Linked DNA regions of Astyanax mexicanus. The protein of the gene in region 1 interacts with the protein of each later gene in a pairwise test. Links are inferred from orthologs where the notes say so. Each region holds a gene or a part of one and is shown in the gene's direction. Other genes may lie near its edges. The genes, in order: ccdc172, hddc3, dctn2 and fam13c.

The links.
Region 2: the proteins of ccdc172 (region 1) and hddc3 interact in binary tests that used the Homo sapiens proteins (3 or more experiments, as listed by UniProt). The two-hybrid records come from large-scale screens. The link is inferred for Astyanax mexicanus from reciprocal best matches to the Homo sapiens genes CCDC172 and HDDC3.
Region 3: the proteins of ccdc172 (region 1) and dctn2 interact in binary tests that used the Homo sapiens proteins (3 or more experiments, as listed by UniProt). The two-hybrid records come from large-scale screens. The link is inferred for Astyanax mexicanus from reciprocal best matches to the Homo sapiens genes CCDC172 and DCTN2.
Region 4: the proteins of ccdc172 (region 1) and fam13c interact in binary tests that used the Homo sapiens proteins (3 or more experiments, as listed by UniProt). The two-hybrid records come from large-scale screens. The link is inferred for Astyanax mexicanus from reciprocal best matches to the Homo sapiens genes CCDC172 and FAM13C.

The regions. Positions count from the first base shown.
Region 1 is NC_064414.1:5,318,895-5,326,664, forward strand, and holds the start of ccdc172 (coiled-coil domain-containing protein 172), read left to right. Parts: upstream 1-4,769; 5' UTR 4,770-4,865; coding exon 4,866-4,944; intron 4,945-5,732; coding exon 5,733-5,818; intron 5,819-7,770. Other genes in the region: gfra1a (GDNF family receptor alpha-1a), read right to left, coding at 1,200-1,239.
Region 2 is NC_064430.1:136,532-143,979, reverse strand, and holds the start of hddc3 (guanosine-3',5'-bis(diphosphate) 3'-pyrophosphohydrolase MESH1), read left to right. Parts: upstream 1-4,428; 5' UTR 4,429-4,581; intron 4,582-5,334; exon of another isoform or gene 5,335-5,339; 5' UTR 5,340-5,341; coding exon 5,342-5,453; intron 5,454-6,068; coding exon 6,069-6,124; intron 6,125-6,349; coding exon 6,350-6,590; intron 6,591-7,031; coding exon 7,032-7,162; 3' UTR 7,163-7,448. Other genes in the region: vps33b (vacuolar protein sorting-associated protein 33B), read right to left, coding at 544-638, 731-776, 1,179-1,246, 1,350-1,399, 1,475-1,536, 2,159-2,239, 3,270-3,365. UniProt on the Homo sapiens protein: ppGpp hydrolyzing enzyme involved in starvation response.
Region 3 is NC_064412.1:9,109,553-9,116,788, forward strand, and holds the start of dctn2 (dynactin subunit 2), read left to right. Parts: upstream 1-4,225; 5' UTR 4,226-4,389; coding exon 4,390-4,425; intron 4,426-6,807; coding exon 6,808-6,876; intron 6,877-7,236. Other genes in the region: kif5ab (kinesin heavy chain), read right to left, coding at 1,564-1,692. UniProt on the Homo sapiens protein: Part of the dynactin complex that activates the molecular motor dynein for ultra-processive transport along microtubules. In the dynactin soulder domain, binds the ACTR1A filament and acts as a molecular ruler to determine the length.
Region 4 is NC_064422.1:5,001,416-5,009,057, forward strand, and holds the start of fam13c (protein FAM13C), read left to right. Parts: upstream 1-4,631; 5' UTR 4,632-5,176; coding exon 5,177-5,345; intron 5,346-7,642.

The DNA.
Region 1 (7,770 bases):
CGCACTGTAATCGTGAGCAACAACAGATTTGTGGCAATATCCCAGTTTGGCACGCGGGCAGTTATGAGACAATCTGTACTTTACTTTATTTGTGAATGGTTTTAATTAAAATTTTGCCACATGGTATTATCAAAAGGCAAAAAAAAAACAAAGCACTGTAATTTGTGGAGCTTTTCCACTGGTCCATTGGGGTCATTTTTGAAAGTGTTGGTCCATTCACTATGGAATTTAACACAATGTCAAGAAGTTGTTTGAGACCGTGTTATGAAACAATCTGGTATTTACTTTATCTGTGATATCATGGTCATAATGTTTTGGTTCATTAAATATGACTGGCAAAATGTAAGGGAATCCACTGGAGCCATTTCTATTGGTCCATTCATCATTGTACAGAACAAAATTGGAGATTTGGGAGGATTTTTTTGTTTGCATGATAGAGACAATATAGAGACAATAGTTTTACGTAGACAGTTCAAGAGTTATGGTGGTCTTTTATTTAATTTACCTCATTGTTACCCCATTGTTCACTTTCAATGGAAGTCTATGTAAAAAAGATTTCATATTTTGGAGCATTTCCATTGGTCCATTAATCATTTACAATTAATTTCAACATTGTAAAGAACAAAACTGAAATTTCTTGAGTTTTTTGCATGACAGAGACAATATCCCAGAGTTTTACATATACAGTTAAGGAGTTATGGTGGTCTTTCATTTAATTTACCTTAAAGTGTTCATTGCTCACTTTCAATGGAAGTCTATGTAAAAAGATTTTACATTTTTAAGCATTTTCATTGGTACTTTTATACTTTCCAATGAATTTTGACATTGTAAAGAACAAAAATGGTGATTTTGGAGTTTTCTTTCTTTTTTTTCTTTGCATAATAGAGACCGTATCCCAGAGTTTTACATAGACAGTTGCGGTGGTCTTTTAATTGATTTTGATTGTTGTTCCCTGTTCACTTTAAATGGAAGTCTATGTAATAAGATTTAACATTTTGGAGCTTTTTTATTGGTTCACTCAAGATGTAAAGAGCAACTACTAGATTTTCACTGTCAAAAAGTGTAAAACTAAAAACCCCAGAGCCTCAGCACCTAATTGGGACTTTTGAAACAAGAAATGTAGAATTTGGTTAGGAATTTCGCTTTTTAGCAAATAAAAAACACTTTTTGTAACATTTTTAAACGTTAATAAAACTTACCGAGCAGTGGCAGCAGCAGACACAGCGTAGTGAAGATCATTTCGACACGTAAAGGCGATTATTTCTCAGTATTTATTATAATTTCCACACAGTTCTCCGCTCCTGAACTTCAGCTTCAGCTCCTGCCGCCCGCTGCGCTCCTCCGCCCGGGCATCCTCACCGCAGCCTCCCCGCCGAGTACAGTCCTCCGCACCGCTCCGAGGCTCCGACCAAGCCCGGGCTGCTGCCTCTAACTCATGGGCGAGTGGAGAAAAGCACAGGAAAAACTGTATTTATTCAGTATTTTATTGAAAAAAACACTGGAAATAACTGTGAAAATAAAACACGCTCGAGCCCCAAAAACTCCGTATCCAATGAAACCCGCGCTGGAGTGAGCGCGCGGCAGCCGTACTGTGGGTGCTGTTCGCAGCGCAAGTGCGCTCTTTTTTCCGCACCCGTTTTCCGACAGAGCCCGCCCACCTCAAACTGGGATTGGCTAATCGGATTTCGTGTTCTGCTCTTGGATTGGCTACAAGTTACGCGTAGATGCTTGGGGGCTGGTTCTTGGGGCGTGCCAGCCAATCGCAGCATAAAACGGGTAGAAGTAACAGCCAATCGTGGCAAGCTAGGGCGGGGTTTGGCGGAAAACGCGTGGAGAAAATATTACAGCGGGTCCACTGTTTGTAGTGCATATTTTTTTTCTATACATTTTAAAATGCTCTTTCATTAATATTTTTAATATATTTGTATGTCTTAAATCTACGTTGGTAGATTTAACATACACGTTTTGTAATAAAATAGAAGTGGTTCAGATATATCAGCATTTATGTATGAAAAAAAATACAAATTATGTAAAGTTATCTTAAACCCGGACTGAGGTGTTTTAAAGATTTTAAATGAAGCTTGTGGAGTACAGAAAGCCATTTTCGGTCCTGTGTGATTTTTTTTTTAACACGAATGGAAAAGACCTCAAGTCTTATTGCGTTAAGAATGAGAATAAAAACAAGCGGAGGTCGCCCTCTACTGGTGTATTTAGATTTAGATTTAGATCTCTCTCTCTCTCTCTCTCTCTCTCTCTCTCTCTCTTTGTGTGTCTCTCTCTCTCCCTCTGTCTCTCTCTCTATTCCATCATAGGTTTAATATATATATACATATTTCTATACATTTCTATATATTTCTGTATTTACAATATCATATATATATATATATATTTCTTTTCTTTCATGCACTGACATGCCAAAAGTCATAGGATAGTAGTATGTAGAGGTAATTGAAAAGTGTTACTTCAGGCTTGGTAACACCAACAGCTTTCTAAGTTGTTTTACTTTGGTAACTGGTGGTAACTATATTGTGACTTGACTGTGAAAAAAACTGAAATACAAACTATAAACTTGATCACAAAATAAGTAGTTTTACTTACTTGTGAGTGAGCTTGAACACTGGCCAGCATGATCGCAGCAAAGTGGCATTAATTAAATTTTAGAATTCTCTAGCCAGACTCAGAAATCAAATCTGCATTCAATGAAATCCAGTGAGACCCCACACACATATCCCACAGACCGGTGCAGCATTCTTTAGCTTCCATGGAACATGGCAAAAGTCATGGGACACAATAGTAGTTCATGTACCATGACATGTTCCATGTGGCATGTTAGTGGCATGTATTATTAGAATACACTAGAATATGTAATATATATTCAAATTATCAGTCATGGTGTAATACAAACTAAAAGCATATCTCTCTCTCTCTCTCTCTCTCTCTCTCTCGCTCACTTTCACTCGTGTGTGTATGTGTGTGTGTGTGTGTGTGTGTGTCTGTGTGGGGTGTCTGTATTTCGGTGTGGAGGGGATTGGCTCCATTTAATCCCACTCATGCTATCATTAAGTAGTACAAACTGAACTCAGTTAAACACCTATTTGCATATTTAACATACTGAACTTTAACACGGCATGTATAATTTACCCCCCATTGATTTGCATACACCCCGTCCGACTCGCTCCGGAGCAGCTTAATAGTTTAAAACACCGTTTACATCACCGAGTCTATCGACTGCAGGCCTGCAATCAGCTGCCATGTTCCGCAGCTCTTATAAATCAGAGTGTGATTCCATTCAGTTCTAATGAGCGTGAGCGGGGGGTCCGCACGGCCCCACACTTCCCCTCAGGCCGGGGGGTCGAAAAGAAAATGAAGCGATGTGTAATAACCGGACTGATTTGTAACCTTTGATATGGAGCTTCTCGTCATTTCTGCTGGTGATTTAGGAGTGTGTGTTGGGTGAGGATCCTGTTTTAATGGTGAGAAACTGGAATATGATGAGTAAGCAGGTTCGCGCACTGGGCTGAGGATCGTCAGCCGCAGGAAGGTACGCGACATCAATCCTGAGACATATGAAAAGCCTCAATCAATATTTACTATTAATTTTGCAAATGAATGTCAGAGTGATAAAGTCTGGGCCGTAAACGAGCTGCGTTCACACTTTAATGTGCTTCATGGCCCTGGATCAAAACCCTCTTCCCCACAGCGCTCAGGAAATTGGACAAAGTAAAGGATGACGGGACAAATCCTGACGGACCGAACGGCAGAGAATTAAAATTATTGATTGCTGACGGGGCCTACAAACGTCAAACAATACCCGGGCTGGCAGCTCTAATAGCTCTTTGAAGCAGGCCTGTGATGAATGACGGGCGGCTTTGTGGAGGTGGAGAGAAAGTGCCTGTAGTCCTTTACATCACAGAGCTGGAGCGAGAGAGTGTGTACACCACCCTGTTACATTTCTTACAGCACATCAGTTAGTTAACTGTGCTCAGTTCCTTCACGCAGCTGATTCAGGAGATGGCCAGGTGCTGGTCTAACTAAGTAACTGCATTTATGCATTAATGCATTTATAACATAGTATCCTGTATTCTGGCCTCAGGTTACTTTTCTGGTGCTATTAAAACAACCTAATGTACGCATAATTGCACATTAATAATACCTAAATCAATAAAATATAAATAAATAAACTTTTTGGCCAAATAATAAGGAAAGAATGTGAATGTATTTAAGTTAATGTATAAATGCAGTGCATTTATCATATCAACAATATATATTGTTGATATGATAATTATGATAAATGCACTGCTTTTGATGGAATTCCATTATCATTTAAAGTTTAATTTTGAGTGATCATTAATATTGATCACTATTAACATTAATTGATTAATACTGAGTACTAATTACTAGTACTCAAAAAGGGTGCACTAACTAACTTTATAAATATGATTTATCACTATCTATCAAATCACCTGAAGTTGTGATAGAATGTTTTAGAAATAATATTAAATATTATTATTTATTAATATTAATATTAAAATATTACAAGTAATATTAAAATATTTCAGTTTACTACTGTTTAATAATGTTAGTTACATCGTTTGTTCACTGTGTTGTTTGAATAACAGTGACCATTACTGTTACTGCCTGAAAACGGGTGCACTAACTGAAAGTAGGAATTATTAACCAATCGTTGCTTAGAGGAAAGAGTTCTTCCAGCCAATCATAGGAGGAGGCGGGATTTGGCCTTTCTAGCTTTTGTCAGGAAATGGGTGTGAAAAGAAAACACTTCTGTTTAAAGACTGAAGGAAATTAATGCTAAGCTAACTTATAGATAATTAAATTTTGTTAAAATATTACTCTTTATTGGAAATATGAGTCTGGATTCTCTCTTTCAGCAGATTTTACTGACTGAGCAACAAGTGTCAGACAACACTCGCCAGCTCCATGAAGGTATAAACTGTTAAACTGGCTAGATATTTAACTAACTAGCTTAGGCAACTATGTTAGCTAGAGTTAGCTAACCTTAGTAAGTAAACTAATGCTAGCTAGTGGCTAAATTAGTGGCTAACAGATGGCTAACTCCCTGTTAACTGCTAACAAGCTAGTTGGCTAGCTAACCGTTCGGTAGCTCAAGTCTTGTCTCGTTTATTTTGTATTTCACTTCCTTTTAATGATAAGTATTATTATATTATAATATAAAAAGTATTTTTTGCACTATAAGGCAAAGGCGGGATAAAAGGTATTTTATGCGACACTATTAAGAAACAGGGGTGTTGCCATGTTTCCCTTCTAATTCAGCAGGTCCTAAAGGGGTGGTGGGGGGGTAAGGTTAACTAAGTGAAATAAAGCTAAGGTAAGTAAACAAAAGTGTAATTCTAAAAAAAAGGATGTTAATCTACATAGATTTCTCTCCTAAAAAACTGTTTATTTCAGTGAGAAAAGCGCTTATGTTTATTCACAGTTAGCTTAGTTTTCCAGATATCCACTAAGGCGGTTAACTGCTAGTGCTACGGCGAAAGAGCTAGCGCCTAGTGCGGTCAGTGGCTAATGCTAATGCTGCTCAAGCAGTGCTAGCCAGGGTAACAGCAGGCTACAAACCGATAATACTCACCTCTGAACGGCAAAAGAGCTAATGCTTAGTGCAGTTAGCGGCTAATGCTAATACTGCTCCACCCTCAGTGCTGGAGAACTAAACTGAAACTCTTTTATAACATTGTACTTCTATTTTTTCCAACTAGTTAAAGCTGCTATCATCAAGACTGAGGAGAAAATAAAGTCTTTCACTGAAAAGCTGGAACACGCACATATTGAGCTGAATGAAAAGGTAAGATCCACTTTTATATAATATAATAATTAATTTTTTTATTTAATAAAACTCTTTTTGTAATTGATTCTGATGTTTAGCAAAATTCTATGTAAGGCTTATATTTATGGAGAATTTCCTGTTATAGGAACAATTGGTTTTGTGAATTAAACATTTTAATGTATTCGGAAGACTTTATTAAAGATGAGGATCAACTACAGGCAGCGCTGCAAAATCAATTTCTAATTTCCGCTGGATTATAATTAGCTCAGTTAGCTCTTTGAAAAACATTGTACATCATGTTTCGAGTGGAAATATACTCAATCAGATGTGTTAACCCATCGTGCACAAAGCATAAAACACAACCTGAGTTAGTATTTTCCTATTGGATCAGTAATTAGTTAACGACTTTATTCCTTAATTACCTCTTTGACACCCTGCAGACAGACAGAGCTTTCTAAATGGTGAAGTAAATGTGTGCAATACAGTTGTCACGTCTTAGCCCTGTCTCATGTCTCTGTGTGTCTTCCCCACGTGACCTGTGCCTCTCTGTGTCTCCTGTCAGTAGATTTCCACCATGTGTTTCTCATTTGTAGCTCCGCCCCTTCCCCAGGTGTTTCCAATTCTAGTGTGTTTTATGTTACTATAAATAGCCCTCCTCTGCCACCTTGTCCTCCGTCGGTCTTTGCACCTTCCTCTGTTGTTTTTTTGTCTTCTCGTGTTTTCTAGCCTAGCCCTCGTTTTCTTAGCTTTAGCCCTTGTCCTTTGTTTATCTCTAGTTTCTTGTTTATTTCCGTGTTCCCTAGTTCCTTGTACATACCCCTGCTTTGTGTTGATTCCTAGTTTAGCTCCTTGTATATATTCCCTGTCTGTTTATCATTATTATTATCTCTAGTTTGTTTGTTTTAGTTCTCTGGTTCCTCTCGTTTGTTTCTGGTTATTTTCAGTCATTTAGTTTATTCCATAGTTCCTTGTATGTATCTCCCTGTTTTATGTTTAAGTGTTTACTTGTTTCTCGTTTTCTTGTTATTTATTTATTAAATTATTATTTATTTTCACCCTACCTGCACTTGTGTCCGCCTCCTCGTCTCCCTGCCTGGGTCATCCGTGACAACAGTGGGAGGCGACGGATGGATATTATTATTTGAGGCTATTATTGAGTTTTCATTACTAATAATCACTCTGACACAAAATCAATTTAACATAACAAAGCTGGAAAAAATCAATGTAACGTAATGGGAATGCATCAGTATGGGGATTGTGAATACCAGTATCCTGTATGTCCATTGTACAGTACATATCTGTGGATGCCAATACTTTCACGTGGATTTGTTAAATTGAGACCAGAATCAGCGAGATTTAAACAGATATTACATAATGAGAAACATAATGTGAAACAGGTTTGAAAAATATTGTAATGTAACAGAGAAATGTAAGCTCATATAAAAAAAATACTTTTGCAAACAAGTTTGACATTACAGAGCATTATAGAGAAATGTTTCCTAAAATCAATCCAGTTCTGTTTCCCAAAGCATTTCGCAGAGCAAAACTTAACAAACAAGTTCAAAGAACATCCTTCACTATTATGTTATTCACTATTATGCCCAAAAATGTAGAAATGTGTTGAAATTAATATCATTATACATCTCTAATACTCTGAAATTCAAATAACAATGACACACCGTCTAATTCAACATGTTTTCTTTTTATGATTTTTTTACATTGTAAAAAGTATTTTCTAAACAAACCAGAATATGTTTTTTAACTTTAGATTCTTCTTAGTAGCCACATTTATTTGTCCTGCTTTGAGGACAGATCTCAGGAGTTCCTGAGTTTTACTGTTCACAGCATAGTTCCATATGTATCCCTTAATAGGTTTCACGTCTTTAATATTAATGTACAATGTAGAAAAAAAATAAATAAATAAAAATGATGACTGGTAGTGTACATATAAAATTAACTAGCTCAAAACT
Region 2 (7,448 bases), on another chromosome or scaffold:
ATACACAATAATACCTCAATACAGGATGAGTGTTTAATCAAAACAGATTATATTATACAGCTGATCAACAATCAAAATCATGTGTAATTTGATTAACTATTAAACAACACAAAAAGATATTTTGAATCGAGACATTAGTTAAAAAAATAATGACTATTGTAATGATTATTAATGATTTATCTCGTGTCAATTAATAATTAGGAGAGGGCATTATGATATCAGAATTATACAGTTTTTTTTATGTTGAGATTTGGTCGATATCTGAAACATATATATTTGCTGATTTATTTATTGTTCGCTGGAAAAAATCCAAACAACACTGGCTGTGCTACTTTTATAATTCATTGATTTAAGCTCATTTTTATTATTTTAATTAGTTTCAGCAGCTTTATTACTGTATTTAATCTGATTATTTAATAAAGATTATTTAAAGCTGTGAACAGTCTTTGTAAAAAACAGTTTGATAAATAATGATGTAAAACCTTAAAACCTGACCTCTGAACCTCCACTGAACACAATCAGCCGACATCAGTAAAACATTACCAGAAAATTCTCTCTGAAGAACTCAGGAAGCTCCAGACTTATGATGTCATCATCCAGCGGGAGGAGATAAAAAGCCCATTCATCACACGTCACATCTGCAAAAAATAACATCAAATAAAACGAGTAATTCAGTGTTTAATCTTCTGTTTATTTGAGGGTACATCTGAGGTGAATTTAGAGCACTTACCCCCGAACACCCCCTGCTCCTCCAGAACCGCCTCACACACGTAGAACTGCAGAACATCACATTAGAATATTCACCATTTTCACATCTTAACACGATTAATCCCAGCCGCGATCATGTGACCAATCACTGCAGCTTCATCAGTGAACACGCTCGGAGGAGAGCACTAAACACCAGTTCTGCTGCAGCAGCTAACAGCGCAACATTATACTGTATAAATTCTCTTAGTGGGTTTAGTGTTGTGTTTAAGCCCCGCCTCCACTAGTGTTGCACTCTGGGGTTAGATCCCACTATTCTAATTGGATAAAATCTCAACTTTTAATTAAGATAACTGTTCTACATTTCAGCTAACATTAAACAATCCCCCTGATTACAGTATCTCATTATACTGTGTTATATTGAATTATAAGCCCTAAATTATAAATATAAGATATGAAATATTATCTCTTACCTTCTGAGGGGTAAATATGATCTTATATCTTCTCAATCTTCCAGCTGCCTTATCCAGGTTAACTACATCTGCAAACATTCAAATTAAATAGTAATAATATTAATATTAATATTACTGCTAATGTTTATTTATCTCTACAGAACTGCTGTTTAAAGTGAATTCAGATCAAACCTGAGATCCATTTTACTGTCTGTATCCGAGGTCGTATCAAAAAGCAGAGCCTAAAAACAGAAAATACTGTATTAATAAATCAGATATTAATGAATTTATTCTTTAAAATGCAGAATTAAACTCACTGATCTGCAGTGCTGACGATCGGCTTCAGCTCCACTTTATATAATTTATCCACTTCATGTTGCTGAAAAAGAAAAAGACAAATGTAATGATTTAAACTCCGCCCCCTGAACTGTACTGAACCTGTATGAGTAGGGGGTTGAGTATTGAGGGGTTGAGTATTGAGGGGTTGCGTATTGGGGGGTTGAGTATTGGGGGGTTGCGTATTGGGGGGTTGAGTATTGGGGGGTTGAGTATTGAGGGGTTGATTATAATGGGGTTGAGTATTGAGTGGGTTGAGTATTGAGGGGGTTGTGTATTGAGTGGATTGAGTATTGAGTGGTTGAGTATTGAGGGGTTAAGTATTGAGGGGTTGAGTACTGAGGGGTTGAGTATTGAGTGGGTTGATTATTGAGGGGTTGAGTATTAAGGGGTTGATTATTGAGTGGGTTGAGTATTGAGGGGTTGAGTATTGAGGGGTTGAGTATAATGGGGTTGAGTATTGAGTGTGTTGAGTATTGAGGGGGTTGTGTATTGAGTGGATTGAGTATTGAGTGGTTGAGTATTGAGGGGTTAAGTATTGAGGGGTTGAGTACTGAGGGGTTGAGTATTGAGGAGGTTGAGTATTGTAGGGGTTGAGTATTGATGGGGTTGAGTATTGAGGGGTTGAGTATTGAGGGGTTGAGTATTGGTGATGGTGTGTTTACCTTTAGCGTGGTGACGTTGGCTATTCGGTCGAGTGGACTCATCAGATCAGCATCGATAAACAAGTCCTTCCTCCCAGGCAGCTATAAAACAAACACACCATCAGCTCCACCCACCGCCCCGCCCACAGCACCATTAGCACCGCCCACAGCTCCGCCCACATCATCACCAGCACCGCCCACAACTCCGGCCACAGCACCATCAGCACTGCCCACAGCTATACTGGTTATACTGGGTTTATACTGGTTATACTGGGTTTAAACTGGTTATACTGGGTTTAAACTGGTTATACTGGGTTTATACTGGTTATACTGGGTTTATATTGGGTTTAAACTGGTTATACTGGGTTTAAACTGGTTATACTGGGTTTAAACTGGTTATACTGGGTTTAAACTGGTTATACTGGTTATACTGGGTTTAAACTGGTTATACTGGGTTTATACTGGTTATACTGGGTTTAAACTGGTTATACTGGGTTTATATTGGGTTTAAACTGGTTATACTGGGTTTAAACTGGTTATACTGGGTTTAAACTGGTTATACTGGGTTTAAACTGGTTATACTGGGTTTATACTGGTTATACTGGGTTTAAACTGGTTATACTGGGTTTAAACTGGTTATACTGGTTATACTGGGTTTAAACTGGTTATACTGGGTTTAAACTGGTTATACTGGGTTTAAACTGGTTATACTGGGTTTAAACTGGTTATACTGGGTTTATACTGGTTATACTGGGTTTAAACTGGTTATACTGGGTTTAAACTGGTTATACTGGGTTTAAACTGGTTATACTGGGTTTAAACTGGTTATACTGGGTTTAAACTGGTTATACTGGGTTTATACTGGTTATACTGGGTTTAAACTGGTTATACTGGGTTTAAACTGGTTATACTGGGTTTAAACTGGTTATACTGGGTTTAAACTGGTTATACTGGTTATACTGGTTATACTGGGTTTAAACTGGTTATACTGGTTATACTGGGTTTAAACTGGTTATACTGGTTATACTGGTTATACTGGGTTTATACTGGTTATACTGGTTATACTGGGTTTAAACTGGTTATACTGGGTTTAAACTGGTTATACTGGGTTTATACTGGTTATACTGGTTACCTGTTCCAGCAGGTAGATGAGCTGGTCCCGGGCCAGTCTCTTCAGCAGGGAAAAGTCCGGAAGCTCCGGAGCGTCTCTCCTCCCTGACTGAGCCATCAGACATCCAGCACAGCGCCCCCTCACTGCAGCCGCCTGCATTACATACATCAATTACATCAATTACATCAACAACATAATCACATCAATAACAGTAATTACATCAATTACATCAATAACAGTAATTACATAGTTACATCAATAACAGTAATTACATAAATTACATCAACAACATCAATTACATCAATAACATCAATTACATCAACAACATCAATTACATCAATTACATCAAGACAGCATTTACACAAATGTAATTTAACGGCTCACAGACAGAACACAGCAGTGCTAAAGCGCGAGACTCATAATAATATAAAAATTAAGACAAACACAGAAATATAAACATCTCTCTTTACTGCAGAAACTGACAGATGGATTTAGCGGCATATCCGGATTTTTTGGAACATTTTCTCGATTTTATCCATAATTAATCACATTATCCATCTGATGAAAGATATTATATGTAAATGTAATTATCTGAAGCTTTTAAATCCTAATAAATCTAAAATATTAAATCTAAAATATTATACATAACATACAGCAGCTGCCTCACCTCCTCCCCGTTTCCGGAAGAAATGGAATTCAGAGCAGTTTGTTTCCGCACGGACCCGTTACAGCGGCGCACACTGCAGAACAGAGATCCTATAGCGAGGAGAGGAGTCACTGCGGAGTGTTCAGGGTCTGTCTGACACTAGAGGGCGCTCCTGAGGGAGTCCGATATTAATAGATTATTATGGGTCAACTGAGCAAAAAACAGAGTTCATAAAAGTTTAAATTTTTTATACTGAAACACAGAACAATTTCACAAGTTTCAGCATCGATAACATAATTTTTAAGGTTATGTCTTTTATTGGTGCTCTGACTGCAACTCGAGCAACAGCTCACTAATCAATCAGCTCACAGTAGCAGCACTGCAGCGCCTAAAACCTGTTTACTGCATAAATAAACTAAAGTATACAGTAACGATGTAAAGTACATTATTCTGCTGTATACAATTATATAAATTAAGTAATTATTCACACCCCCCCCCCGGGCTCCCTCTATTGGTGCGCAGGGATTTCCTGTTATACCGGAAGTGAGCGGTCTCGCTATAAATCAGCTTTAGCAGAAACAGCAGCGCCTCAGAGGAGCTAAAAATAATCACAGATTTAACTTAATAAAATAAAACTTAATAAACCTTTAATAATCCGAATCACAGCAGGAGTATAATCTGTAACAGGTGAGTGATTTTACTGAGTTTATTTCTCGGTCTAGTTTCTCATGTAATAATAGTTAATGGTTCCGAGATTTAAACTGATTTATTTATTTTATTATTTTACACACTTTTATTTTTTAACTGATTTAACCGCAGAATAAAAACCGCTTTTTATTCTGTTTAACCGCTGATAATCTGGGTTATTTATCTTTCTGAGCTCAGAAACAGAAATCAGTCCTTTAACTAAACTGTAAAATTGATTTATTGTTTATTTTAAAAACAGTTTAAACACAAGTTGTATAGTTAAGTCTGTGAACTAATATTTGTTTAAAGCAGTAAAACTACAGCAGATCTCGTGTAGAAATGCAGTGTATTTCTCATTACAGTAAATTCAGCTATGATTTAAAATCCAGTATAAAGAAGTAGAGATTTACTGACCTGTGGAGATTACTGAGATCAATACTGAGATCAATACTGAGATCAATACTAATATGTAACTTAGTGTTTAATGTATATATTTGTTAAGGCTGATACATAAAGATGTTTAAAATGCAAAAAATTAAACCCAAATTAAATTAGATTTGATTCAGGGTTACAGAATAAAACATTTTAAAGCTGAAATAAATAAAATACTCTTATAGAAAAGGTTAAGAAGCACAGAGTTCTGCTGTTCAGCTCAGTAAACTGAATTAAATTCTGTCACTGTTCACAGAAAAAAAGTGTCTGAAAAATGTTGAAGTTTTAATATTGTTTTATTTTATATTATTTATTTCTAAGTGTAGAAATGAGTTCAGACGCTGTGATTCTGTTGGAGACGATAAACTTCGCTGCGGAGAAACATCGTAATCAACGCCGTAAAGATCCGGAGCAAACTCCGTACATCAACCACCCCATCGGTAACTCACCACCCCGTACACAATAACTCATAATAAAATTAATAATAAAGTTATCAATACATTACATTACACTACTCTACAGTACAGTTTATCAGAGTTTGATTTAGTGTTAGTTACACTTTTCACATCCTGAGATACAGATTAGTGTAAAACTCAGTTAAACTTTTACAGCTTCAGCTCTTCTGAAAGGCTTTCCACAAGGTTTAGGAGTGTGTTTGTGTGTTTATGGGAATTTTTCACCATTCTTCCAGAAGAGTGTTTGTCCAGCTCATCCAGGTCTTTATGGAGTTATGATCTTTATGGTGCTCAGTTATGTTGGAACAGGAAGGGGTCGTCCCCAAACCTCCTCTGGAAGTTGGGAGCATGAAATCTAAAATATCTTGGTCTGTTTAAACATTAAGAATTTCTTTCACTGGGACTAAGGGGCGGAGCCTAACTTCTGAAAAACAACCCCACACCATGATCATAATCCCCCTCAACCAAACTTTAGTCATGTTAAACCAGATCACTCCCAACTCTTTATTTCTATATAAATCACTGATTAATGCTGAAATAATGATGTTGTCTGTTGAATTTGTATAAATACGTTTAATCTACACTCTGATCTTTTTACAGGGGTGGCGCGGATTTTGAGTCATGAAGGCGGAATCACAGATATTGAAGTTTTACAGGCGAGTCCTGATCGATTAAAGTTGTTAAATTAAAACAAAGTTATGTAGCAAAAACGTTTTACAGTATACTGGGTCAACTTGGCCAAAAGATTATATATGTAATATAAACATATATTATTAACACATGTAATATACTGCTTAAAATATATTATTATACAGTACCAGTCAAAACAGAGTGACAGGTAAATGAGATATTAATTAATAACTGAACGGTCTGTTATTCAGGCGGCGCTCCTTCACGATACGGTGGAGGACACGGAGACGACGCTGGAGGAGCTGGAGGCGGCGTTCGGGAGCACGGTGGCGAGGATCGTTCAGGAAGTGACGGATAATAAAGCTCTTCCTAAACTGGAGAGAAAGCGGCAGCAGGTTGAACACGCGCCGAACTGCAGCCGCCAGGCCAAACTCGTCAAACTCGCCGATAAACTCTACAACCTGCGGGACCTGAACCGCTGCACCCCACAGGGTACCCAACCCCAACCCTCACCCCAACCCCAAAACCCTTTATTCCTTTATTTATTCAGTAGTTCTATAATAATTACAGACTGTTTGTGTTTCTCTGTATTTATCTTTATTATTCTCCTCCTAATTCAGAACCCACAGCATAGAAAACCACCACAGAGCAGCTATTATTATTATTATTATTATTATTATTGTAATTATTATTATAATTATTATTATTATTATTGTTGTAATTATTATCATTATTTGGCTGGTTATTCTCAGCACTGCAGTGATTAGCATGGTGGTGGTGTATGAGGTGTTAGTGAGTGTTGAGCTGGTACAGTAAGTGGATCAGATACAGCTGTGCTGCTGGAGTTTTTAAACACCTCAGTATCACTGCAGTGGTCATAATATTCTGCTTGATTGATGTGTAATTATAAGTGTGTGTGTGTGTGTGTATCAGGTTGGACGGCTGAGCGGGTTCAGGAGTACTTCCTGTGGGCGGGGCAGGTGGTGAAAGGACTGCGTGGGACGAATCCGGTTCTGGAGGAAAAACTGCAGCAGCTCTTCACTGAGAGAGGCGTCAAGATCTAACTCTAATTCACCCCTGTACTCATCTATACTCTACTCTATACTCTTTACTCTATACTCTACTCTATACTCTACTCTACTCTATACTCTACTCTATACTCTACTCTATACTCTACTCTACTCTATACTCTACTCTATACTCTTTACTCTATACTCTACTCTACTCTATACTCTACTCTACTCTATACTCTACTCTACTCTACTCTATACTCTACTCTACTCTACTCTATACTCTACTCTATACTCTTTACTCTATACTCTACTCTATACTCTACTCTATACTCTACTC
Region 3 (7,236 bases), on another chromosome or scaffold:
ACCTCCTATCACTAGGGTGGATATACCTCCTATCACTAGGGTGGTACTCCTCTTATCACTAGTGTGGTTACCCCTCCTATCACTAGGGTTGTTACCCCTCCTATCACTAGGGTGGTTACCCCTCCTATCACTAGGGCGGATATACCTCCTATCACTAGGGTGGATATACCTCCTATCACTAGGGTGGTACTCCTCTTATCACTAGTGTGGTTACCCCTCCTATCACTAGGGTTGTTACCCCTCCTATCACTAGGGTGGTTACCCCTCCTATCACTAGGGTGGTTACCCCTCCTATCACTAGGGTTGTTACCCCTTCTATCATCAGGGTGGTTACCGCTCCTATTACTAGGGTGGTTACCCCTCCTATCACCAGGGTTGTTACCCCTTCTATCACTAGGGTGGTTACCCCTTCTATCAACAGGGTAGTTACCGCTCCTATCACTAGGGTGGTTACCGCCCCAATCACTAGGGTGGTTACCCCTCCTATCACTAGGGTTGTTACCCCTTCTATCACTAGGGTGGTTACCCCTTCTATCACCAGGGTGTTTACCGCTCCTATCACTAGGGTGGTTACCCCTCCTATCACCAGGGTGGTTACCCTCCTGTCACCGGGGTGGTTACCCCTCCTATCACTAGGGTGGTACTCCTTCTGTCACTGGGGTGGTTACCACTCCTATCACTAGGGTGGTTACCCTCCTATAACCGGGGTGGTTACCCCTTCTATCACTAGGGTGGTACCCCTTCTGTCACTAGGGTTGTTACCCCTTTCTATCACTGGGGTGGTACCCACAAGGCTATGCGTTCAGTACCTTTAGTTAAGAAACACATATATACTTAAATACGCTTGTAACTGTTTTTCTTTTCAATTGTATGGTACACACTTGGGTCTGAGAGATGATGTTGCCCATTTGATTTGAACATTTGTACAGTCTGTACTGTTCTGAACAAAAATGTACCTGTTCAGTACCTTTTATCTGACAGTGTATGACAACAAAGTGCACTATTTCACTCTGACCTGACACAGCAAATTGCTCAGAAATCCTGGCAGTAAAACGTGAATCTGTCCTGCTGTGTAAGACTGGCCAATCAGTGCCAAACAATCTGATCCAATTGCTTTTTTTTTCTTCACACTCTTTGTGGCATCTTCTCGCTCTGCGTTTGCTTGGGTAAGACACAGCTGACTTAACACATCATCAGCCCATCATTATAGCTATAGATGATGATATTTGATGACTGAGATAAGTGCATTTTCAAACCTTTAAAGTCATTAAAATAAACACTCTGCTGTAACATGAGCCCATAATGCTTTGGTTGGTTCTAATATGTAAGAAATGGTAAGATTAGACTCTGAGTTCCTACTGAATGCAGCTGTTTTTATTAAACGACTTATAGCTGGTTATTGATTGCAGGCAACTTCTTAGGGAAGAGATAAGAGTAAGAGGGGAGTGCCAAGAGCCTGATAGCCTCTCTGCGTCAATGTATGCATGCATTCTTAATGAAATCCGCTTATAAAACCATAAAACCCTTTAAAAGTCAGCAAATACTTAAGAATCCGCCACTTACCCCCAAGATAACAGTGTCATTTTCTTGGAAAACGGGCAGGAATTTGTCTCCTCGCACAATTTCGGATTGATTCAAGGGACGAAACCGGCACAGCACCTTAATGTTGCATTCTGCGCCTGGATCAGCCATTGCGCTGCGCTGCGTTGCGCTACGATTTGGGAAAAGTAGCTCAACTGCGTGAACGCGGGCGAGCCTCGGCGTGGAGAGCGCTCGCAGACGCTCAATTCAAAGCAGACTCGACGCAGGAGTTGCTTGGATGTGATGAAGATGCGCAGTTTAGGAGTCTTCCAGCATCCAGCCCAAACAGAACACCTCCTCTCTGTGCGCAAACTCGTTATAGGCTACCTGCGTTTAGCGCTAATTACAACGCGGTGGCTTGCACTCCTGAACGATCTGCAGCTCTGCCTGCTATTCCAGTCTGAAGATCAGTGCGTGTGAGGTGAGTGAGAGGTGTGTGATGCTGCAGCAGTCCGGACGCACGCGCTCGGCCCAGCTCCACGCTGACTGGCCTTTATCTGCGAGAGGCGGAGCCTGTGCCCTGGCGTCGTGACGACGCGATGATGCTCGCATCAGGACCACTACTCTGATGCTCTGAAGCCTCTTACATGAAAGCAAAAGAAGCGAGGAAAACAAAAGCGTAGCGCGTGGCAGAAAAGAGCAGTGGTCAGCAAACCTGGTCTTGGAGATGCTCCAAATGATCCAGCCCTAATTCCCAAGGTATAGAAAATGAAAATTTGAGCTGAAGCACTGCAGGAAAGAAGGGAAAGGAAAGCAGACTCTACAGTTTAAAGGAGAAATACTGTATGAAATTGACTTGGGATGTAGTGAAACAGAAAAAACGAGTATGGACATTTGTCAAATAGCTTACATTCTTTCACCTCCAGCATTCCCAAATACAGCGCTTCTAGCCGATGCTCCCAACAGGCTTACCATGCTTACAATTGCTAATTGTACACCATTAAAAAGCTCAAAGTAGCTCCACACTTAATCTGTAGGATTCTGAGGGTCCTGACATTTAAAATGAGGCACTGAGAACTTTGATTGTGCACAGGTAGTCTATTAAACTGTATTAAGTCACAAGAAGTCGACTGACAAGCACCAACTAATAGGTAGGATAGGGGAACAGATTGCAAAATTTATTCAGTGCTAAAACATGAATATTGGAGCTACTTTGAGCTGGTAATGTGTAAAATTAGCAATTTCTTTGCATGGGCCATGCTATGCCCCTATCACTCACATTGTAAGCCTGTTGGCAGCATTGGCTAAAGGTGGGCTATTCAACAAAAGTTTGTACTCACTATTATGTTTTACAACACCCCAAGTCTATTTCACACCAGAGTTATCCTTTAAATACAACTTCACTCCACTATGTTTGCACCTCTAATACGTGTGCCCAGTTGTGCTGGGCCAGTTAACAATATCAATACTGTTTTATTTATTGTTACTACTATATATAAAACTATAGAGGCTGATTAGGACAGAACAACATTGTCAAACAAATTGTCCATTTCTGTAATACTAAAGATGTTAATTTATATTTTGTGGTTTTATAGCTAGGGATTTTTATAACCAGAAGAAAATGAACCATATAGCTTAACTGTCCCCTTTCACTTTATGCCCTAATCACCTTTGATTTACCCTACATAATAACACACCGAAAAGGAGTTGTTGCTAAATAACACAAAAAAGTCCAATCTCTGATTGTGAATATTATTTGTAATATTGTATAGTAAAACAACATTAAAACATTATTTGACAATTGAAGAACTAACCATAGTGTTCCGTCCATAGCGTCTCAGTTTCTTGTACACACTTTTGACCAACACCAGCAGATGACCTGTCTCTCCAAACCATCAATGACCATCAGTAACTTTTGCATTTAATTTGGAAATCAAGGAACCAGAATCTGACAGGAGCGTGGAGAGAAACACAGTCCAAGCTGCTTGGATCAATGATGGTTTGGAGAGACATGTCTCTGCTGGTGTTGGTCCACTGTGTTTTATCAAGTTGAAAGTCAGTGCAGTGTTTTCCTGAAAAATCTTACAGCACTTTATGCTTCCTTCTGCTGACAACTTATGAAGATGCGGATTTCATTTTTCAGCAGGACTTGATACACTGCCCACACTGCCAGTACCAAAAATTACCAAATTGGTTACATAAAATATTATTAACATTTTCTAAGACACTGATTCAAATAAATAAACGCTTAAAATAGATCACTCTGTGTGTAGTACATCTATATAATATGAGTCTGGTTAAACTGGGCAGTGTTAGTGTGAGTGGCCTGGTGAAACTGGGAAAGTGGGCAGTGTGTAGAACTGGTCTGGTTAAACTGGGTAGTGTTAGTGTGAGTGGCCTGGTTAAACTGGTAAAGTGGGCAGTGTGTGTGTGTGTGTAGAACTGGTCTGGTTAAACTGGGCAGTGTTATTGTGAGTGGCCTAGTTAAACTGGGAAAGTGGTGTTAGTGTGAGTGGCCTGGTTAAACTGGGAAAGTGGGCAGTGTGTAGAACTGGTCTGGTTAAACTGGGCAGTGTTAGTGTGAGTGGCCTGGTTAAACTGGGCAATGTTAGTGTGAGTGGCCTGGTTAAACTGGGAAAGTGGTGTTAGTGTGAGTGGTCTGGTTAAACTGGGAAGTGCCTGTACTGAGGTGGGTTTTGGCTGCAGTTCACGCGAGACTGCTGCGGGTTTATCGCTTCTGTCAGCAGCAGGTCGCTGACTCAGTTCTCTCCCTATCTGCATCAATAAACGCCCTTTTTAAACCTGGACATTATTTACAGGAATATCTGAGTTTTTCACTGGCGGCTCTGGTTTCTCTTCTTGGTTGCGATGGCAGATCCGAAATACGCCAATTTACCAGGCATTGTAAGTGTCTATAATTTAATACCAGCACAGTGTTAGCATCGGGCTAACGGTGTCTTGTTCCGTTTAGCGTTAGCAGCTAAGTGGCTAAAGGGACTGTTAACCAGCCGCATTCGTATTATTAATTTTGATAGACTTATTGCGGGTGTGGATATTTTTGGGGCACATGGCTGCAGCAGTTATGGGCGATATTTCACAGCTTTGTGTTTCTAAAAAGTGAAGTTAGCTAGAAAAGAGCGTCTGGTAGCTAGCCTAGCTTAGCTGGCTAGTTGACTAACATATCTAGCTAGCGTTTGCTAGCTGTCCATTATTACTCCGCCCTGAAAAGCCGGTTGAAGACAATGCAGCCTCAGCTAGTTATCTTTTGTAGCTAAATAGGTGAATATAGCTATTTTTTGTGCACAAAATCCTATTGAAAATCACCGGGAAGTGTTTGGTTTAGATTTGAGCTAGGTTAGCTTAGCTTAACTAACCAGAATGCTATTGTTTTGGCAGGGCTGTAAACGCATTTTAGCTTCAGTCAAGCAGCTTATTAGCTTGCTAGCTAACTGGCTTCTTCATTATTGCCATAAAACAAACAACGAAACAAATCTCTATAGCTATTTACTTCTAAATTTATTACTAAAAACAGCAGGATTTTTAAGTAAAGCTTCTCAGTCCTGCAGTTGCCCTGTTGGCAGTGTTGTGGAAGCGGCTGTCTAAAGGGCGGCGGCCAGGCAGGTCACCAACTTCAACAGGACAGATAACTACAGTAGCTAGCTAACTTAACTATATATTAAAACATTAAATATAGGTTAGCTAACAAAAATAAAGCATCCTGTCAATAAGGCCAATTGTCCAATGGTTTTCAGTTTGATGATTATGAAGGATGATGGATCCTTTTTGTGATGATTTGATTGCATTCAGCCTGGAGAGCATTGATACTAATATTTGCTCATATTAATATTAATATTTCATACAATAAAGTTTATTGTATGCCGGAAAAGAACTAAGCAATGCTGTCCATGCTACTTTAAAATGTATTAATTTAAGCTAATTTCGTTTTGTTTTTGTTAGTTTCAATATATCTATTGTTATTGTTGTTTAACCTGTTAATTAAAAAAAGAGGGTTTAAAGCTGTGACTAGTCAATGTAAGAACCAGTTAGCTATCTTAATAACTGTGAAAACAAATTGCTCAGATGAAACATTCCATTGTTTGCATACAGTACACCAACTTTAACAGTACAGATACACTAGCTAACTAACCATATGTAAAATAAATAATATATTATGATGGATTGCATTCAGCCAGGAGAGCATTGATTAGTGACATTGGAGGAGTATGCTCTCTCCAGATTATGTAATTATTTTTGGATCATACGGAAAAAAAAAACTAACTACGGATGCTCAATATTTTTTTTTAGTTTCATTGTCATTTGCATCAGAGAATGTGACCAATATTTCCAGACTATATTAGATGAAGTGTTTATTGTATACCTGAAAAGAATTAAGTGATTCTGGCCATGCTACTTTAAAATGAGTTGATTTAAGCTATTTATTTATTTTTAAATTTCAATAGATCTATTGTTATTGTTATTTACCTTGTTAGTTAAAAAAAAGAGGGGTTACAGCTGTAACCCGTCTATATAAGAATCAGTTAGCTATTTAAATAAATGTGAAGACATAAATGTGAAAACAAATTGCTCAGATGAAACATTTTATTTAATTGTTTGTATACAGTGGGTTGGATGATAAAAGGTATATAAATGGTATACTGGGGTGTTTAATCTTTCTGTAACTTTATAATGTGTTCTAACGGGTAAATCGGCATCAGCCCATAATTCCTCCAATTTAATCAATCATTAGTTCAATTTAACAAATCATTTTCTCTATTTAACAGTTAAATCAACCGCTTCAGTATTTCTTTCTCAATGTAATAAATAGTTCCTTCAGTCTTAAGGTCTCTAAATATAATTTTTTTCCAACCTTGGTACTTCAGAGGCTCTGCACAAACAAATTAAATGGAGGTAATTCACTTTTGATAACCCAGATCTGCATATCCACATCCCAATGCTGGTGGTTTTGTATAATTCTATTTAAGGGCATGGTGACCTTGGCCTCATGTGGATGTACTCTAGAGTGTCCAAACGACAAAAGAGATCATACAAACAAGATGTACATTATGTTGTGTGCGCAATTTTAAGACTTTTTACGTTGCCTTCTCACCTTATCAGCTAAATTCACTAATTAGGGGGGTTATTTTTATGCTTTTGGATGTACATTATATCTTATGTGTTTCAGAATATTATTTGTTTGTTCTGGCAATTAGATTGCTTTTCATAACATTCGGCCTTATTGTGTTTTTAGAATTAAAGAATTAATAGGATTGTTTAATCTCTCCATAGGCCTTCAACGAGCCTGATGTGTATGAGACCAGCGAGTTGCCTGAGGATGACCAAGCACAGTTTGAGTCGGTAAGTGATCAACACAGGGCTTGATTTGATGTTTCATATGTGTTTATTGAAGGTGTGATTATGCCTGACACACAGTTAACCTAATAAGAACTTTCCCTCCTCATCACAACACCCCACCCACCCACTCTCCCTGTTCTGATCCACCCTGGACTCTAGTTTGTGCAAGTAAGAGGTCCTCCTTTTCTGACGAAGTGACTGCATGGGTTTTAATCTTAATTTTAATCTCTTTTTTTTTCTTCAATCGGGGAAGATCAGTCATAGAACTGTGGACTTTTATTTCTTTCTGATTTGAAATTATGTGCTTGATTTTAGTTCTTCTTCTGTGCCTCTAATGGTGCTTTTCTGCCGGACAGTGCAGTA
Region 4 (7,642 bases), on another chromosome or scaffold:
TGTTTCATTTTTTTTTACAATTGCTAATGTCTTCCCTACAGCTTCACATTTTTACTGACCGAGGAGACGGATGACCCTCAGATACCATGCAAGGTAAAGAGCCTACACACACATCTTTTTAATTATGCAATTAGGTTTTATTAAAACATTACATGTGCAAACGTACTAATGAGTAATAATCACAATATACATTACACAAAAGTGATGGGATAGCATTTTGTAAACTGATCATAAAGTGCCTCCCCTTGTACCTACACTGACCTAAACGTATACCCACAACACTTATATTATATTTACACTTAAAGTACACTGCAACTGTATTTTTTTTTACAGTAAATTCATCCAGTAAATAATTGTTTAACGATGTCCTGTTGTAAGAACCCTAAGAACACAGCTGCCACCTGTATATATAGTGGCATGAAAAAGTATTTGACCCCCTACAGATTTCTTTTATTTTTGTTTTTTTGTCATACTGATATTTTTCCAATTATAAAATAAACTTTAATGTCAGATAAATATAACCAGAATAAATATAAAAAGCACAAATCAATCTAGCTCTGTGGGGAAAAAAAGTGTTTGCCCCCTAAACCTTATAACTTGGTTGCAATCAAGCTTTACTGATAACTGGCAGTGAGTCTTTCACATCTCTGTGTTTTTTTGTTATTTTTTGTGTCATTTTGTTTCACTCTTCTTTACAGAATTGTTTTAATTCAGACACATTGGAAGGTTTTTGAGCATAAATGTCCTGTTTAAGATCATCTTTAGCATCTCAATCAGACTTTGACTAGGCCACTCCTAAACCTTTATTTTGTTTTTAAAAGCCATTCAGCCATATTCTATTCGTGAATAATAGCTCTCACTGTGGTCTGCTGGAGTCCCAAAGCTTCAGAATGACTTTATATTTTTTCCAGACTGATAGATGATCAATGACTTTGTTTTCTCATCTGTTTTTGAATTTCTTTAGATCGGGGCATAATGTGTTGTTTTTGAGTTTTTTTTTCTGCTTCATGTTATCAGACAGGTTCTATTGAAGTGATTTCTTAATTTTACAGGCCTGGTTGTAGTTAGTAGTGAAAATACACAGCTTTCAGAAAGGGTGATTAATCACAGTTAATTTATGGATGGGGGGATGCAAACACTTTTTTACAAACGGTTAAATTGGTTTGGATAGTTTATTTCCTTTAATACATGAAATCATAATTTAAAAAAGTGCTTTTTGTATGATATTGTTTTTAATTTTACTACTGTATACCAGTATAAGAAAAAAGGGAAAAACGAGTGGTTACACTGTGAAAAATTATTTTACAGTAAGTTAACAGCAAAAGAAAATTCCAATAAAGGATTGTACAATTCTGTTTGAGTGTGTATATCTGTGCAGTGTGAAGCTGCTTTTACACAGAATGCTTAAAATGTGCTGCTGCTCTTTTACAGTGTTTTCAATGGGACGTGCAGTGCGGCTGCGAGCAGTGAATGCAGCACAGACCAAGCTTAGTGTAAACAACTTGGAGCAGCAGAGACAGCCTTAGATCATAGCAGTATATTATTTGACTAATATATCAGATTAAACTGTGCCTTATCAGCAGTTAATTCAATTAAAAATAAGTATATTTGATAGCTGGGTTGGATCGAGACCAGATCACGTTCTCACCACAAATGAACCACTCCAGAAAAACAATCTGCATATTGGGCGGGGCAGATTACGGCAGAAGTTGGAGTCCAATTTAGTGGCTTATTTAATTAATTGAGTTAAAAAAATAATAACGCCTTATTGATGCCAAATTAATATTGTGCATTAAGGCTTTAATATGTTTGAAGCAACAATTTGCTCTCACTTTGTTTGGGTAGAGTTTATTTACCAGTATTTTGGGTAAATATGATCTAAACTGAACAGTTAAGACAATCAATCTATTGTTTCTTAATATGTTACCCAAAAGACCCCTGACATGCTTTATTTGCGTAATGGTAGGGGTGAAACGATTAATCGAGTGAATTGAGTAACTCGATTAAAAAAAAAAGATTGATACATTTTCTGTGCCTCGAGTAGTCGTTTAATTAATTTTAAAACTCAAAGCCCGGAATTTAGCACGGACTTTTAATGTGAAAAAGCGCTTAGCATTATGTCACCCACACACAGGACGCAGGTGGAGAAGATGGAAGTTTTTGGAAATCAATAAGATTTCCATCAGTGTAGCTTAATAACATAACGACAGCGCTGTTTAGTATTAGAAATACTGTCTAATGTGTGTGGTTAGTCTATTAGAACAAATGTAAGTATTAAAAATTAAAATAATTTAGTTTAAGGGCGGCACGGTGGCGCAGTGGGTAGCACTTCCGCCTCACAGCAAGACGGCCTGGGTTCGATTCCCGGCTGGGGCGACCCTGGTCTTTCTGTGTGGAGTTTGCACGTTCTCCCCGTGTCTGCGTGGGTTTCCTCCGGGTTCCTCCGGTTTCCTCCCACAGTCCAAAGACGGCACGTTCAGGCTAACTGGAACTTGATTGAAATTGCCCCTTAGGTGTGAGTGTGTGAGTGAATGTGTCTGTTTGTCTGTCTGTGTCCGTCTGCCCTGCGATGGATTGGTGGCCTGTCCAGGGTGTATCCTGCCTTCCGCCCGATGCCTGCTGGGATAGGCTCCAGCCCCCCCCCCCCAGCGACCCTTCACGGATTAAGCGGTTGACGATGAGATGAGAGATAATTTAGTTTAAATAATTTAACTTAATTTATTTAATTATTATTATTATTTTTTTTTTTTTAAATTGCTTTTTAGGCAAGCAAATATATTTTATCCGATTACTCGATTAATTGTATCGATTTTTTAGTAGAGTACTCGATTACTAAAATAATCGATAGCTGCAGCCCTACATAATGGATGCCCACCTCCTCTACTCACCCCCTTAACTCACCACCTGTATGGACTCTTGCCTATCAGGGCTGCTTTCTCTTGGGTATTCAGTTATATTTTATTGAATGGTTTACTGCCCAGTCACAGTGTTGTAGGCTATAAGTACAAGTTGTCATTTTCTTACTGTAATATTTACAAGAAACTATTTATAGTGCAGAAATCCTAAATGTACACTCTCTACAGTTGCACTGTTCCGTTTTCTTACACTTTCGTAACGTGTGGGGACACACCCCCACATACAGCCATGAATACTCCTCTGCTGTAAGGAGCCAGTTCCTGCGTGTGTGTCTGTGTTGCAGGAGGACGCATCCTGTGTGCACAAGCATGCAGTCTTTACCTGAGAGAGAGAGAGAGAGAGAGAGACTGGGAGAGAGAGAGAGAGAGAGAGAGAGAGAGAGAAAGAGAGAGGAGGGGTGGAAGGAATAAATAGGAGAGGAGGATGAGTCATCTCCAGTGAAGTGAACACAACATCAGCCTACTGCTCCAGAGGCCAGCAGACCCAGTTAGTCCAAGTGAGAGAGAGTGAATGAGAGAGAGAGAGAGAGATGGTGGTTAAGAAGAGGATAAGAGAGATACAGAGATGATGCCAAAGAGATCATTAGAGAAAGAGAGAAAGATGCTGAGAGAGATGAAACGGAGCATCTCACAAAGACACAACTTCACAAACATGACAACGTCAGAACACATGTCTTCTTCTGACGTTAGAGTGTGCGAGTGTGTGTGTGTTTGTGTTCTAGAGCCTCTCTGACTGATGCTGATGCTGATACTAATGTTACTGGTACTAATGCTAATGCTGGTGTACTGATGCTGCTGCTAGTACTTATGCTGCTGCTGGTACTGATGCTGCTGCTGGTACTGATGCTGCTGCTAGTACCAATGCTGCTGCTGGTACTGATGCTAATGCTAGTACTAATGCTGCTGCTGGTACTGATGCTAATGCTAGTACTAATGCTGCTGCTGGTACTGATGCTAATGCTGGTACTGATGCTGCTGCTAGTACTAATACGGCTGCTGGTACTGATGCTGCTGCTGGTACTAATGCTGCTGCTGGTACTGATGCTGCTGTTGGTACAAATGCTGCTGCTGGTACTGATGCTGCTGCTGGTACTGATGCTGCTGCTAGTACCAATGCTGCTGCTGGTACTGATGCTGCTGGTACTGATGCTGCTGCTGGTACTGATGCTGCTGCTGATACTGATGCTGCTGCTAGTACCAATGCTGCTGCTGGTACTGATGCTAATGCTAGTACTAATGCTGCTGCTGGTACTGATGCTAATGCTAGTACTAATGCTGCTGCTGGTACTGATGCTAATGCTGGTACTGATGCTGCTGCTAGTACTAATACGGCTGCTGGTACTAATGCTGCTGCTGGTACTGATGCTGCTGTTGGTACAAATGCTGCTGCTGGTACTGATGCTGCTGCTGGTACTGATGCTACTGCTGGTACTGATGCTACTGCTGGTACTGATGCTGCTGGCACTGATGCTGCTGGTACTGATGCTGCTGGTACTGATGCTGATGCTACTGGTACTGATGCTGCTGGTACTGATGCTGATGCTACTGGTACTGATGCTGCTGGTACTGGTGCTGCTGCTGCAGCTGGTACAGATGCTGCTACTGGTGCTGATGCTGGCAGCTGTACTTTCCGCCTCCTCCTGTGTTTTTATGAATGGATGTGAGGGGAGGGGCGCATTGACGTCAGTGCGTGCGTGCGCATGCAAGCGAGTGAGCACGCTCAGTGAGATCCTCCTCAATACCCCACCCGCCCTCCTTCTCCAACACCCCAAACCCCCTTACCATGATGACACACACACCCCCGGATGCGGGAAAATCCTGAGAAAGCCCCCACCCTCTCTCTATCCTTTTTTTCCCCACGCCTTCACCCATCCATCCGCCCATTCTTCCATCCATATTTCGGTCCTCTACGTGTGCGTGTGCACCCCACCCCGCCCCTTCATCCTACTGCTGACGCTACAACCCCCCTCCCCTCAGCACAGGCACACACCCCTTTCTCTCTCTCTCTCTCTCTCTCTCTCTCTCTCTCTTTCTGTCTTTCGTTTTTCCCACCACTCCTCCACCTCCAGGAGGGATATGAATAATCCATGCGCGCGGGAAGAAGCTGCCGCAGCGAGGAGATCGGCGCACGTACACCGACAGGCACACACACACGCAAACGCGGGCAGGCAGGCAGGCGCACGCGCGACTCTGCTGCCTGCTGAATCTGCAGCGGCACCCGGCTCCATCATCCCTTCCTCCCTTTTTTCTCGTCCTCTGCCATGTTCTGCTTCTGCCTGCAGGGCTCGCTCCTAAAGCTCCAGGCTCTGGAGGAGGACTCCAGCCCACCTCTGGGACGCTCGCCCGAAGACAGCCCACCCGGCCTGGGCTTTAGAGAGGACCCCCAGACCCCCTCGCGCGCCAGCCTGAGAGAGGACATTAGCCCGCAAGGTAGGTTAACAAACACACATACACATGTACACACACACACAGCAGGTGGAAGGGTGGTAGGCAGGTGTGGTGGTTGTAACGCGTGGGTTGCAAGCTTGGGTTGCACGAGGGAAAATAATCGTTAACGCATTGTTAATGCAATAAAGCATGCTGTGTTATTTTTGCAGGGATGCAAATCAGTCACACACGTGGAATTCTATTCCTCTATACGTACACATGGATGCATTTTAGCTGCTGTTGTATGTAACGCATCGATTCCCACAGGTTTCAGTGGCTTTCAATGGATGCATCATGCTGCACAACTGTAATGTAGGCTACCTTTGACGTCAGTGTGTGCGCTGATTCATATGGCAGAGTCGGTGTAGCGTCAGACCCTAGTGATGGAATGGATAAATATGTATACGTTACATGTCTGTTGAATTTAATGATCGATAATTTGTATGTATATTTGCATGTGTGCATCATTGGCATAAGGTTGAGTTAATGGCTCAATGAATGAATGCATGCATACCTGTATTATAACAGTGATTCATGTGCGATTGAGACATTCAGTTGTCATTCAAGAATCGGTTATCTGCATGAAGCATGTGAATGAATGGATTAATTTAAATGAATGGTTGATTTAATAAATGAAGAAAGGAAGAGAGAGAGAGACAGATAGCAGGATAGAGAGCTGAGAATGGGGTTTGTGGGACGTGGCTGAGACTCTGAGGCTGCTTCTGGAAGGTAAAAGGGGGAGGGACTGCTTTGCTTTTGTTTTGCTTGTGCTTTTTTGGCACCATGCAGGCGTCTATTAATAACGCAGAGAGTTTGGACAGAGATGCAGACTGCCCACACCTCCTCCCAGCACGACTCGAGCTCACACTGACACACACACAGGTTTCTATTCCATTGCTGTCTCTGTTTAAGTATTTCCATGCACCTAATCTACTCTAATCAAGAGCAGATTTTGAAGGTTGCTGGATTCAGATGGTCCAAGCTGCTCATTTTTGACGGTCAAGGTGGTTCAAAAAACTGGTCATCCAGGCAAAACATGAACTAAACCCTATAGTGATAAGTAAGCTGGTTAACAGCTCTTGATAGGCAGATTGTCCAGGGTTCTTGCACAATTTTAAAAGTCAAATTTAATGCTTTTTAAAACCTTTTTAAGACCTTGATAAATATAATTTTAGAACCCAAAAGGCAGTAATCATTTCTTTGGGAGAAAATCATTTATTTTCAATTTTGTGATGCAGAACAGAGCAAACATAACATAATTTACTTGAGCTCTCTTTAGTAGCTTTCTGGACAAATGAAAAAAAAAAAAGATCAATTAAATTGTAGTGATGTCTATAATACTAATACTACTACTAACACCATCGCTGCTTCTACAACTACAACTACTAATAATTTTGGTTTGTACCCCGGGTAAGGGTACTTACTATGGACAAATGAAGTCTCCACCTGAGTGTTCCAGAATTAGAACTTATTTAGACCTTCCAGTTAGCTAGCTCGCTGCTAATGTATGTATGCTACCTAGCCCGCAGCTAAAGTTAGCTAGCTCTCCCCTTACCTTATTTCTTTCCCTGGTAGCGTTAGCTATCTGGCCGCTAAAGTTAATGTGTTAGCTATCTCACTGCTAACCTTAATTCTCTTTCCGGCAGCTTAGCTAACTCGCCGGTAAGGTTAGTATGTTAGCTAGCTCAACGCTAACCTTAGTTCTCTCCTCGGTGACGTAGCTAGCTCGCTGCTAACGTTACTATGCTAGCTAACTCGCCGCTAATTTTAACTAGCTTTCCACTAACGGCAGTCTTTAGATGTTCATGGTCGGGCACTGTGTTTTTCCACCGACAATAAACGCATCATCTGAAAATGTAATACCTACAGCAGATTTCCAGTAAATTTATTTACTTGGATTTTAATTCAAGACATTTTAAGACATTTTAAGGACCCTGTGGAACTGTATGTTGTATTTTTTAGTTGTTTTTTGATCATATTACTATATGCTGTTCATGTAGGTCTACCACCATGGTCAAGCTTGGCTATACTCTTTAACTGGCTTAGTTAAATTTTAAACATGTGTCTAGACCAGCCATAAAAGTAAACCATCAAAATCATAAGGTATTTTAGTAAAGAGATAAACTGGTCAACCATGTTAACCATCTTGACCAACTTGAGCTGGCCATGCTGCTTTTTTTTCAGCGAGTAATAATCACCAAAATTAAGTGGTGAACTAAAATGTACTGAATTTGATGGTTTAGATGATCTTCAACCATGATTAACCCTTACCAAGCTAAACACCAGTAACTGGTTGTCCA